Coturnix japonica: one gene and its partner. The protein of the gene in region 2 interacts with the protein of the main gene of each other region in a pairwise test. Links are inferred from orthologs where the notes say so. Each region holds a gene or a part of one and is shown on either strand. Other genes may lie near its edges. The genes, in order: MPHOSPH6 and EXOSC10.

Region 1 (4,602 bases), on a different chromosome or scaffold from region 2:
CAAACTCTGGATTATTTAACCTTGAGAATGTCTCTGAAAAAAACAAAGCTGTACTCCCAGTCTGCTACTATTTTTCTGTTATTTTAATTGGTAATATCTCCTGGATAAGAAAAACAATTAGATTCTGTTTGCACTACAAAACAATCCAATGGTAATAAGAGATACAAAAGTAGAAGCCTTACTCTTTCTCCTTTAGGTCTGGTAAATCAAGGTACCAGTGTTCATCACTAATTATCTTCTTTTCCTCTTCATCGAGTTGTTTTTTAGTTTGCGAGTCCAAACCCCTTTGCATGAACTAAAAAAGAGAGAGACAACTTCAGGCTTTTTGAGTGTGTTCTGGCAGGCAATGATTACACGACAACAATTATCCATTACATACTATTTAACAGTTGATATAAGCCATACATGCTTTTTGTGATCTCTGTGTTTGGGAGAACAGACAGAGCAGAAGCAAACAACTGCAGGTCACAACCATCCACTGCAAGTCAACAGCCACATCCATACTTGGATACAAAGACATCCCTATGAGCTGAGATCTTCCCTTGGGGCTACAGAAAGCACCTCAATAACTGCACCTGGCAGCAGGGCACCATTCACACAGATACAATTTGCAGCAAGATGCTACCAGCACTGCAAATACACACTGATGTACAAAAATTGCTTTGTGGCAACCAAAACAAACCTGTATGTGCAACAGCACAGAGGAATCCTGTATCAATGAATCTTACCTCTCTCATATAAGCAGCATCATTTCCGTGCTTAGCTAAGCCTGCAGGCTGACAGATAACACCACTGGGGCTCATCTGTCTCTTGAACATTAGCAGAGACTTGGACACAGTTTTGTTCAGTTAGAGTGGACTTGGCTTGGGGACAGAACCCAAGAAGCCATCACAGAACATTTGTCTCCCACAGAAACCCTGCGTTACTGAGCTTATTTGGAGCACACAGGTGATACGTGCGTGCAATATACATCACATAAACACCCACACCTTCTCATCTTTACAGAAAGCCCAGTCAAAATAAAACAAACCCCATCATAAAAGCCACCACAGTGCGTCTCATTTTCCATTATATTTTTATTTGCATTCATTTGCACGAGATCTTTAATGAAAGAAAAAATTGACTTCTGTTTTCGAGTCAACCCAAAATATGTCAAAGCTTTCCAATTAAAATTACAGTATCTGCTTGAGGAAAATGAGGGAATCTATCATATGGAAAACCATATTGCTCAAGGAGATTGGTTAGCCAGTCAGAAACCTCAACAGGAGAAATTCTGCTGCAAGCACACAATTAAATAATCATTTCACATTACATTTTAAAGATTATGTTCCTAAAGATTACTACAAGAATAAATAGATTAAAAATGTGATTGTATTTATCTGTAAACACATGTGGATAAATTAAAAATACACCAGTGGGGGTAAATGTAGGGTATGTACTGCAGCAATCAGGTGGCTATTTGGCTGGATCAAGCAGTACAAAAACTAGTTTACAATCATATGAACTCTGTTATTCTAAAAGCAGGAGCCATCTTTCGACATCAAGAGGTGAGCACATACACTGCATCTCCATGAAAAGGTCTGACCATGTACCACCTTTGAGTGCCCACTGAATTGTGATGATCCATCTCATCCACACCCGCAGAGGCAACTGCTAAAAGATTATTAAAGCATTTGTCAACAGCAAGATCTGCAGAAGGGAAGAGCTGAGTACAAGATCTGTGTAGAGCCTTCTCAAAACCTACCCACCCCTTTTAAGCTGGTTGCTGCTGCCTGGACTCTAAACCTGAAAATGTCAAGGCACCACATTCATGGACTGGTTTTCCACTGCCTGAAGGAAACCTAGGAATCTGCCTTTTGAAATCCATGGAGGATTTAAAAAGTGGTAAAAAAACAGCTGCACAAGTTTCACCTAAAAAGTGATTATTGCATAAAAATGAGAAAAAGATCAGCAGTGCCACAATCCAGAGTCTTGCCCTCTCCTGCATATCTGCTTAACTAAGACCAACATTCAATTGCTCTTGAGAGAGAAACATAGAATGGCCTGGGTTGAAAATAATCACAACGATTGTCTCATTTCAACCCCCCTGCTGTGTGCAGGGTCACCAACCACCAGACCAGGCTGCCCAGTGCCACATCCAGCCTGGCCAAGTTATCAAAATATAATGGGATATTGCTTCAAAGGAAAGTCAACTAAGCCAACAAAGGTAAGCCAACTTTTACTAGATGCTTTTTAGCAATCAATATTCAGCCATCACAGGAGGATGAGGCACTGAATTACACAACAAGAATCATAACCTGTAAATCCACCTGAGCTGAGATGCACAGCATGGTGGGCTGGCCAAGGGAGCACCAACAGCATATGTGTATCTATGGGAAGGGGGGGAGGCTGAAAGGTGGTCCAAAGAACATAAAGACAAGGGACACAACAAACCAACCCTCTCTGGGGCTGCTCACTGTAGAAGACAGAACTAAATACACGTGCTATACCAAACCAGCAGCCTTGTGCCGAGGTGTAAGAAGTGGAAATACCCCGAACCCAGCACCGAGACGGCACCAGATACCAGCGGAGGGCCAGGCCCGCCCCATCCGCTCCCAGCAGCCCCGCAGCCCGGCCCGGCCTCCCTTTACCTCCCGTTCCCGCAGACCGGCCTTCATGCCTCCTATTTGCCACCCCGCACCTTACCTTCATGCGGAGGAGGTTCTTGGACAGCTTTGTTTTCACCTCCCCAGCCATGGCGGCCGCGGCGCTGCCCGTAGGCCGCGCTGGATCCCCGTGCTCGCGTAGCGCCGCGGCCGCGCACGTTGGGGGAGGAGAGGGAGGAGGAGGAGGCGAGGCTCCACCCTCCACGTTCCGGGTCGGCTGCTGGGGGCACAGCCCATAACATGGGGCTGAGGGAGGAGAGGGAGAAGGATACATTGGGGATGTGTGAAGGATGAGCTGGATGGAGCCGATATATAACGGGGTGGGGGGAGAGTGCGCTCATGAGCAGGGGTGTAAATTGGGATGGAGTGATGAACTAATAGAAGAAACCTAAGTTGTTTGTTTGTTTGTTTGTTTGTATGTATGTGTGCTTGTGCATGCTGTAGTCTGATGATTTTATCCATATTTTTCAGCTGTTTATAACTGTAAAAGGAAAAGGTTACAAAATCCTTCTCATATTGGAGACTGCTTGATTTATTCAGCTATCTTTAAATAAAAAATAATAAATAAATAAGCATTGACTTCTGCTTGACTGTGTAGTCAGATATGGTTGTAACTGGAGAGCAAATAAATCTCAGGATACTGCAAAAACCTTCACAGCTCTGTTGTTCCTGGGTGGGTGGTATTGGAGTTAACACTAAGCAATGCCATCTTTAGGCTGCCGGGCTGGGCCCTGTTGTCCTGATAGGGAAGTCTTGATGAGGAGCTGCCAGCTGACACCCAGCCACCAGCAAGCACCACAATTTCTGTATATATCCTCATAAATCAGATTTCTGATGCCTGGTTTGACATTCGGCGCATAAACCAGGCAGTAAAGTAATACGAGTGAGAGTTCAGTGTTCAAAACTGTAATGAGCCAGTGTGCTTGGAAAGACAATCTGGGAAGGAAAGTTCCCGTCTATGCGAGATGTAGGTCAGAGTGAGCTTGAAGAGCTTCTGAAGATTTATGCTCTAATGGAGTCCACGAAGATGTACAATGAAGGGCAAAGTGTTACTGCAGTGGGAAAGAGAGAGGAGGAGTAATCTGTATCCAAGCATCTTTACTACACAGTTAAGCTCAGAGGGTAAATATAACCACAAATACAAATGAACCACGTCCACTTCAAGGGCAATCCATAACGCTGGGTAGAAGTATTTAATTTCCACATAAGCAAAGCAGCTTCATCTCCAGGCTCTGAAAATGAGCTGAAGGTGCTCGTGAAGTTCAAGGCCCAAATGAGAAGGTCTGTGTGACTGCGGGATCTGTCCCGCTTCATTTGACCCCCCCTGTTCATCATTAAGAGTTTACAACCCTTTCCAACAGAAAGTAAGCTGGGAAAAAGTTCGCAGTTTTCCAAACACAAATGTGCATCAAAGCGGGTTTGTATCTTAGCAAACAAACGCCTTTAGTTTGTATGACAGCACAGTGCCTCCATTGGCTCCCCATTTTAGCCTTGTTTTCTGTTTTCCATGCGCTCTAATAGTGCATTTGCTTTTTGTTGATCATTGCACGTCGGAGCCTTGCATTTAATTGTGTGGCCTTCAATGTCACTCAGGGCATTTTCTGAGCAGTTTCACTTAATTTATAGTCCGGAAATGTACTTCAAATGATTCTTTCTAAATACATTACTCTGCACCCATCAGCACGTCTCCAGCTACTGTGCCTGGTTTGTGTGGTGCCCTTTGTGAAAGCTTTTCCCCATTCCTTGCACATCACCCTCTCCTGCCTGCGTGGCAACATTTCATCAGTCCCTGCAGCCCCTTTCTTCAGCAGCCACTGCATATATCAGCAGCGTGATACCTTTGATGTGATACCACCAACTCTTTAATCTTTGGGAGCTGAGCCTAATAATTTAAAACGGAGTGCTGGGAGCTGAGAGTGAATGGTGCGAGGGGGTTTTGAACTCTAATGCAAATTAT
Region 2 (4,446 bases):
AGGAAAAGGTATCTGTAAAGTCAAGCAGACTTACAGACCAAGCAACAAAACTCCTCCTGCCAGGGGGACTCTCATGGAAATTCAATGGTGGCAAAGAGAAGCAGCAGAATATCTGTTGGGAACAGATTAGTTACTGTATACCAACAAAAAGATGTTGTATGCTGACCAAATCTTACACTGCACATACATAAACAATGGAGTCACAGAGCAATCTCATCCAAATAGTCAACATCTGCTCCTGCTTGCTTTTACAGTCAATATTTCCTCTTCTGGATTGTCAGGACAGATTTGTGTCAAACACTCTCAACTGATTACCCATCAACAACAAAAAAACTTACCTTCAGCCAATGGTTTCAAAGCATTTGGCTTGATAAAAAGCTTAGGTACAAAGGGAGTGTTGGAATTGTCAATCTTTTCTCGAAACTTAAGCTGTGGGCGAGAGATATTCTTGGCATGGAGCAGTCGGAAGGTTTCAGACTTAGATCTTTTGTGGTATTCTCCTGCCTATTAAAAAGAAAGCAAACCAACATGACTTAACAGACATCCAGAGCATCTTCCATTCACTGACCCCAGTACTGCGAGAAAAAGGAGGTGAGTGAGGACATATGAAAAAGTCCAAGGGAACATTTAACTACTAAAATCCACTGGCAAACTGCAGTACCAGTGCTGGGAAAAAGAGCAGCAGCCTCACCTTGCGGTTCCAGCTGGAAACGATCGTCTGTGGCACCTGCAACCCAGCAGGAAGGACAGGCTGCTGGTTTTTGTTCACTCCTGCTGCTTCATCCAGTAAAATACCCTAAATTCCAGGAAAAAAACAACAAAAATGAAAATCAAACACCCGCTCAGTTACTGTACTATGCTAAACATTAAACATAACTGCAAAAGCACTAACAGTAGAATTATTTTAACAAAAAGCACTTGTGGTACCTGAATACCTTATACAAGTAATGTTAAGGAATGATTTGCTCACCACTCTTTCAAGAATGATGTCATTGGAGTCAACCAGCATATCAAACTTATCTTCCAGCTCCGTGACTTTGCTGCGGTCTTTCATGTGGCTGCGGCAGCCGTGGTACTGCATCACCCTGCTCATGCTTGCAAGAGAACAGCACAGTTATTATGGATTTAAACAATAATAATAACAACAATAATAACAATTAACTGAACACTGAACCATGCAATTCTTCTCAACTTTCTACATCGCAGAAGTTTGAAAGCAGATCAAATGTAATACTTATAATAACATACAAAAAGCAAATGTATGAAACACCTACATGGTGCTAAGAGTTATTTAGTACTAATAGGACTGATTTCTTTATGAAACAACTTTCTAGATCACAGAACTGTTTGGGAGGGACCTTTAAAGGCATCAAGTCTAACTTTCTTGCAATGAACAAGGACACCCACAGCTCCATCAGGTGCTCAGAGCCCCTTCCAGCCTGACTTTGAGTGTGTCCACAGATGGAGCATCACCACCTCATTACTCTCACAGTAAAAAACCTTGTTATATCCAGTCTAAATCTCCCCTCTTTTAGTTTGAAACTCATTCCTCTTGTTCTATCAGATCTGTCCCCTTTTTTCTTATATACCCCTTTAGATACTAAACGGCTGTTCCCAGAGCATTTCACAACAGTCCCCACTCGCAGTTTGTTCCCATCAACACCATTAAAGGCAACTCAGCTAAAATTCGACACATGACCTAAAACATCCTTTTTACCACCAACCAGCCTGGAGATTCCATAGAATCCCCTGTCTGGGCCTGGCAGTTGCCGGGGCTGTGATGTCTCCTTACCATTGCAGCAGCCGATGTCCCTGAGCTGCACAGTACGCCCTGAACCCAGGGAAGCTGCGGTAGAAGTCGTACTCATCGCCAGGCTGGGGCAGCCCGCTGGATGCCTTCGTGGTGGCCACCATGGTGCCGAGGGCGTGCTGTGTGAGAACACCGTGTTAGTGCATTGCCTGCCCTGCTGCACACTGTGCTGACAAACCTCCATCCCTGTGTGTGTGCGAACAGTGCGGTTACATCCAACACATCGCAAGGCCTTGGTTTGTTTGGGTGTTTTTTAACACGACTAATCACAGAATCACACACAGAATCACAGAATGACCCGGGTTGGAAGGGACCTCAAGGATCATGTAGTTCCAACCCCCCTGCCTGGCAGGGCCACCAAACATACACCTTTACTAGATCAGGTTGCCCAGGGCCCCGTCCAACCTGGTCTTGAACACCTCCAAGGACGGGGCATCCACAACCTCCCTGGGCAGCCTGTTCCAGGGCCTAACCACTCTCCTAGTGAAGAACTTCCCCCTAACATCCAACCTAAATCTTCCCTCTTTTAACTTAAAACCATTTCCCCGTGTCCTGCTATTATCAGCCCTTTCCAAGAGTTTACTCCCCTCCTGGGAGTAAGTTCCCTTCAGGTATTGACTAAGTTGGCAGTTGTTTCATTCACACCATCTCATCAGGTTAAACAGAGTAAAGCGATAACAACACTACGCCTGTCGTGCCAGGATTTACGTTTAGAGAGAGGTTTATCAGCACAGACGCAGATCTGGGCTTTATTTCAATGCCAACCACATCACGGCACCGAGTGACCGCACGGCCCGGCGGGAGCTGTAGTGCACGGCCCCTTCCCGCTTCACCCCGCCCCGCACCTTCACGAAGGCGTCCACGTCGTCGAATCCCGGCAGCACCGTGGCCGTGCTCCCGTCTCTTTCCGTTTCCACGGGCGGTCCCCCCTGCCCCCCTTTGCCCCCTTGGGCCGCGCTGCTCCCCGCTACCGCGCAGCCGTTCCCCTCAGCCACGGCGGCGGCCATCTTGTCCCCTCAGCCACCAGACGCACGGAAACTCTCGCGAGAGCTTCAGGGCCGAGAGAGGAAGATGGGAGATGGGCAACGCATGCGGGCGGGTAGACAGTACCAAGCCTTATACATAGCGCCCCCTAGCGGCTGGCGGACCGCGCTGCATGCGACCCCCACCCACCCCAAGCGACCCCTCCTGCAACCTGTTACCTGCATCCCTGTCTCTTCCTAAGAGCTACTTAGGAACAAACAAGAACGCAGCCCCACGGTGCCACGTTTTGCTGTAATTTATTGGCACAAAAATATCCAAATACAACATGGCATCTAAACATGGCTACTCTGTTGTATTTTGTGCATTGTTTTTATTCATAATTCACGACTTCCTCCACTCCCATGTTATTATTATAACCATTATTTCATTTCAAGTTATGACCAGCTCTCCCCCTTTTGCCTCCTATGCCAGTTATCACGTTCCCCTTTTAATCTGCACACAGAGCTCCCCAGCGGTGTCTCATTGCACTGCTCGATCTGCACAGAGGCACCTGGTTATGGTCAGATGAAGGTCTGAAATTCTTAACATCTGCTCCAATATTCCATTCAGGGCAGCAATCCATCTGCAAATGATTCATTTACTTTGCAAAGTAATTCCAAACCCGTATATAGTTATATTTACCAGTTCCCCAAAGACCCAGTGGAACCATTGACACCTGCAGTACAATCAGTCTTCACTGTCCTTGGAAACCCAAATCAGCTATTGTGTTCCAGACAGCTCGTGTTTTTTTTCCAATAGCAGCTATAAATTGGCTTAAACCAACTTGTTAATATACAATAACTCTTTCCATTTACAGTTCAAACTATTTGACAAAGGCTGGATATCAGTCCAACGTTCAGTTTGTGTTTGTAGAAGAGCAAGTTTGGAGCGCAAAAGCCTCCAGAATAAAAAGGCTGTGGATACTTTGGGATCTTCTGTTACCAGAAAGGACACCTAAAAGGAAACAAAAATAGGGTGGTGATGCTCAGTGCAGCTTCACAAAGGCAGTGCTGAGAAGGACTGAGACTGCCAAGGCTCCGTTTAGAAGACATAGTATAGGAAATAGTATAGGAAAAGTTGGCAGGTGATCCCCCCACACACAGCTTAAATGCTTAAAACTAAGGACTGTTTCCTTAAGCATAGTCTGATGTTATCTCTCTCAAATGACAAATGTGCAACTAAATCATTTATGTTTGCTGCAGAATATGGAGATCTTCACTGTAACTGACATCAGTGACCAACATATGCCTTACTTCCAACACTAAGTGTTCAGGTTGACTGCAGCTTTAATGCTCTACATTCCCATTACTCCTTATCACAACTTACATTCTTACAACGGTCTGTCTAAGGGATCTCTGCCATAAGCCTGCAAAATGTACGAGCTCATATGCAACATGTGGTAAGGCTTCCATACGTAACTAAATACACCAGAACTAATGTTTTTGTTGGCTTTCCCTCTGCTCAAATTATTAATTCCAGATCACTCAGAGAAGAACTTTGCACTGTTAGCTGAATGACAGACTCACCATCCAATGTAGCACTGGCACAGATTCTCATGAGAAGTAGCTTGCTTAATGAGCAGTTCTACTTGTGTGGGTACATCAAGAGTTTCA

Evidence for each region.
Region 1: the proteins of EXOSC10 (region 2) and MPHOSPH6 interact in binary tests that used the Homo sapiens proteins (3 or more experiments, as listed by UniProt). The link is inferred for Coturnix japonica from reciprocal best matches to the Homo sapiens genes EXOSC10 and MPHOSPH6.

Annotation. Positions count from the first base shown.
Region 1 is NC_029526.1:14,006,901-14,011,502, forward strand, and holds the start of MPHOSPH6 (M-phase phosphoprotein 6), read right to left. Parts: upstream 2,839-4,602; 5' UTR 2,737-2,838; coding exon 2,686-2,736; intron 296-2,685; coding exon 183-295; intron 1-182. UniProt on the Homo sapiens protein: RNA-binding protein that associates with the RNA exosome complex. Involved in the 3'-processing of the 7S pre-RNA to the mature 5.8S rRNA and play a role in recruiting the RNA exosome complex to pre-rRNA; this function may include C1D.
Region 2 is NC_029536.1:3,559,759-3,564,204, forward strand, and holds the start of EXOSC10 (exosome component 10), read right to left. Parts: upstream 2,843-4,446; 5' UTR 2,818-2,842; coding exon 2,656-2,817; intron 1,930-2,655; coding exon 1,793-1,929; intron 1,095-1,792; coding exon 971-1,094; intron 797-970; coding exon 692-796; intron 505-691; coding exon 339-504; intron 1-338. Other genes in the region: serine/threonine-protein kinase mTOR, read right to left, coding at 3,772-3,787, 4,360-4,446. UniProt on the Homo sapiens protein: Catalytic component of the RNA exosome complex which has 3'->5' exoribonuclease activity and participates in a multitude of cellular RNA processing and degradation events.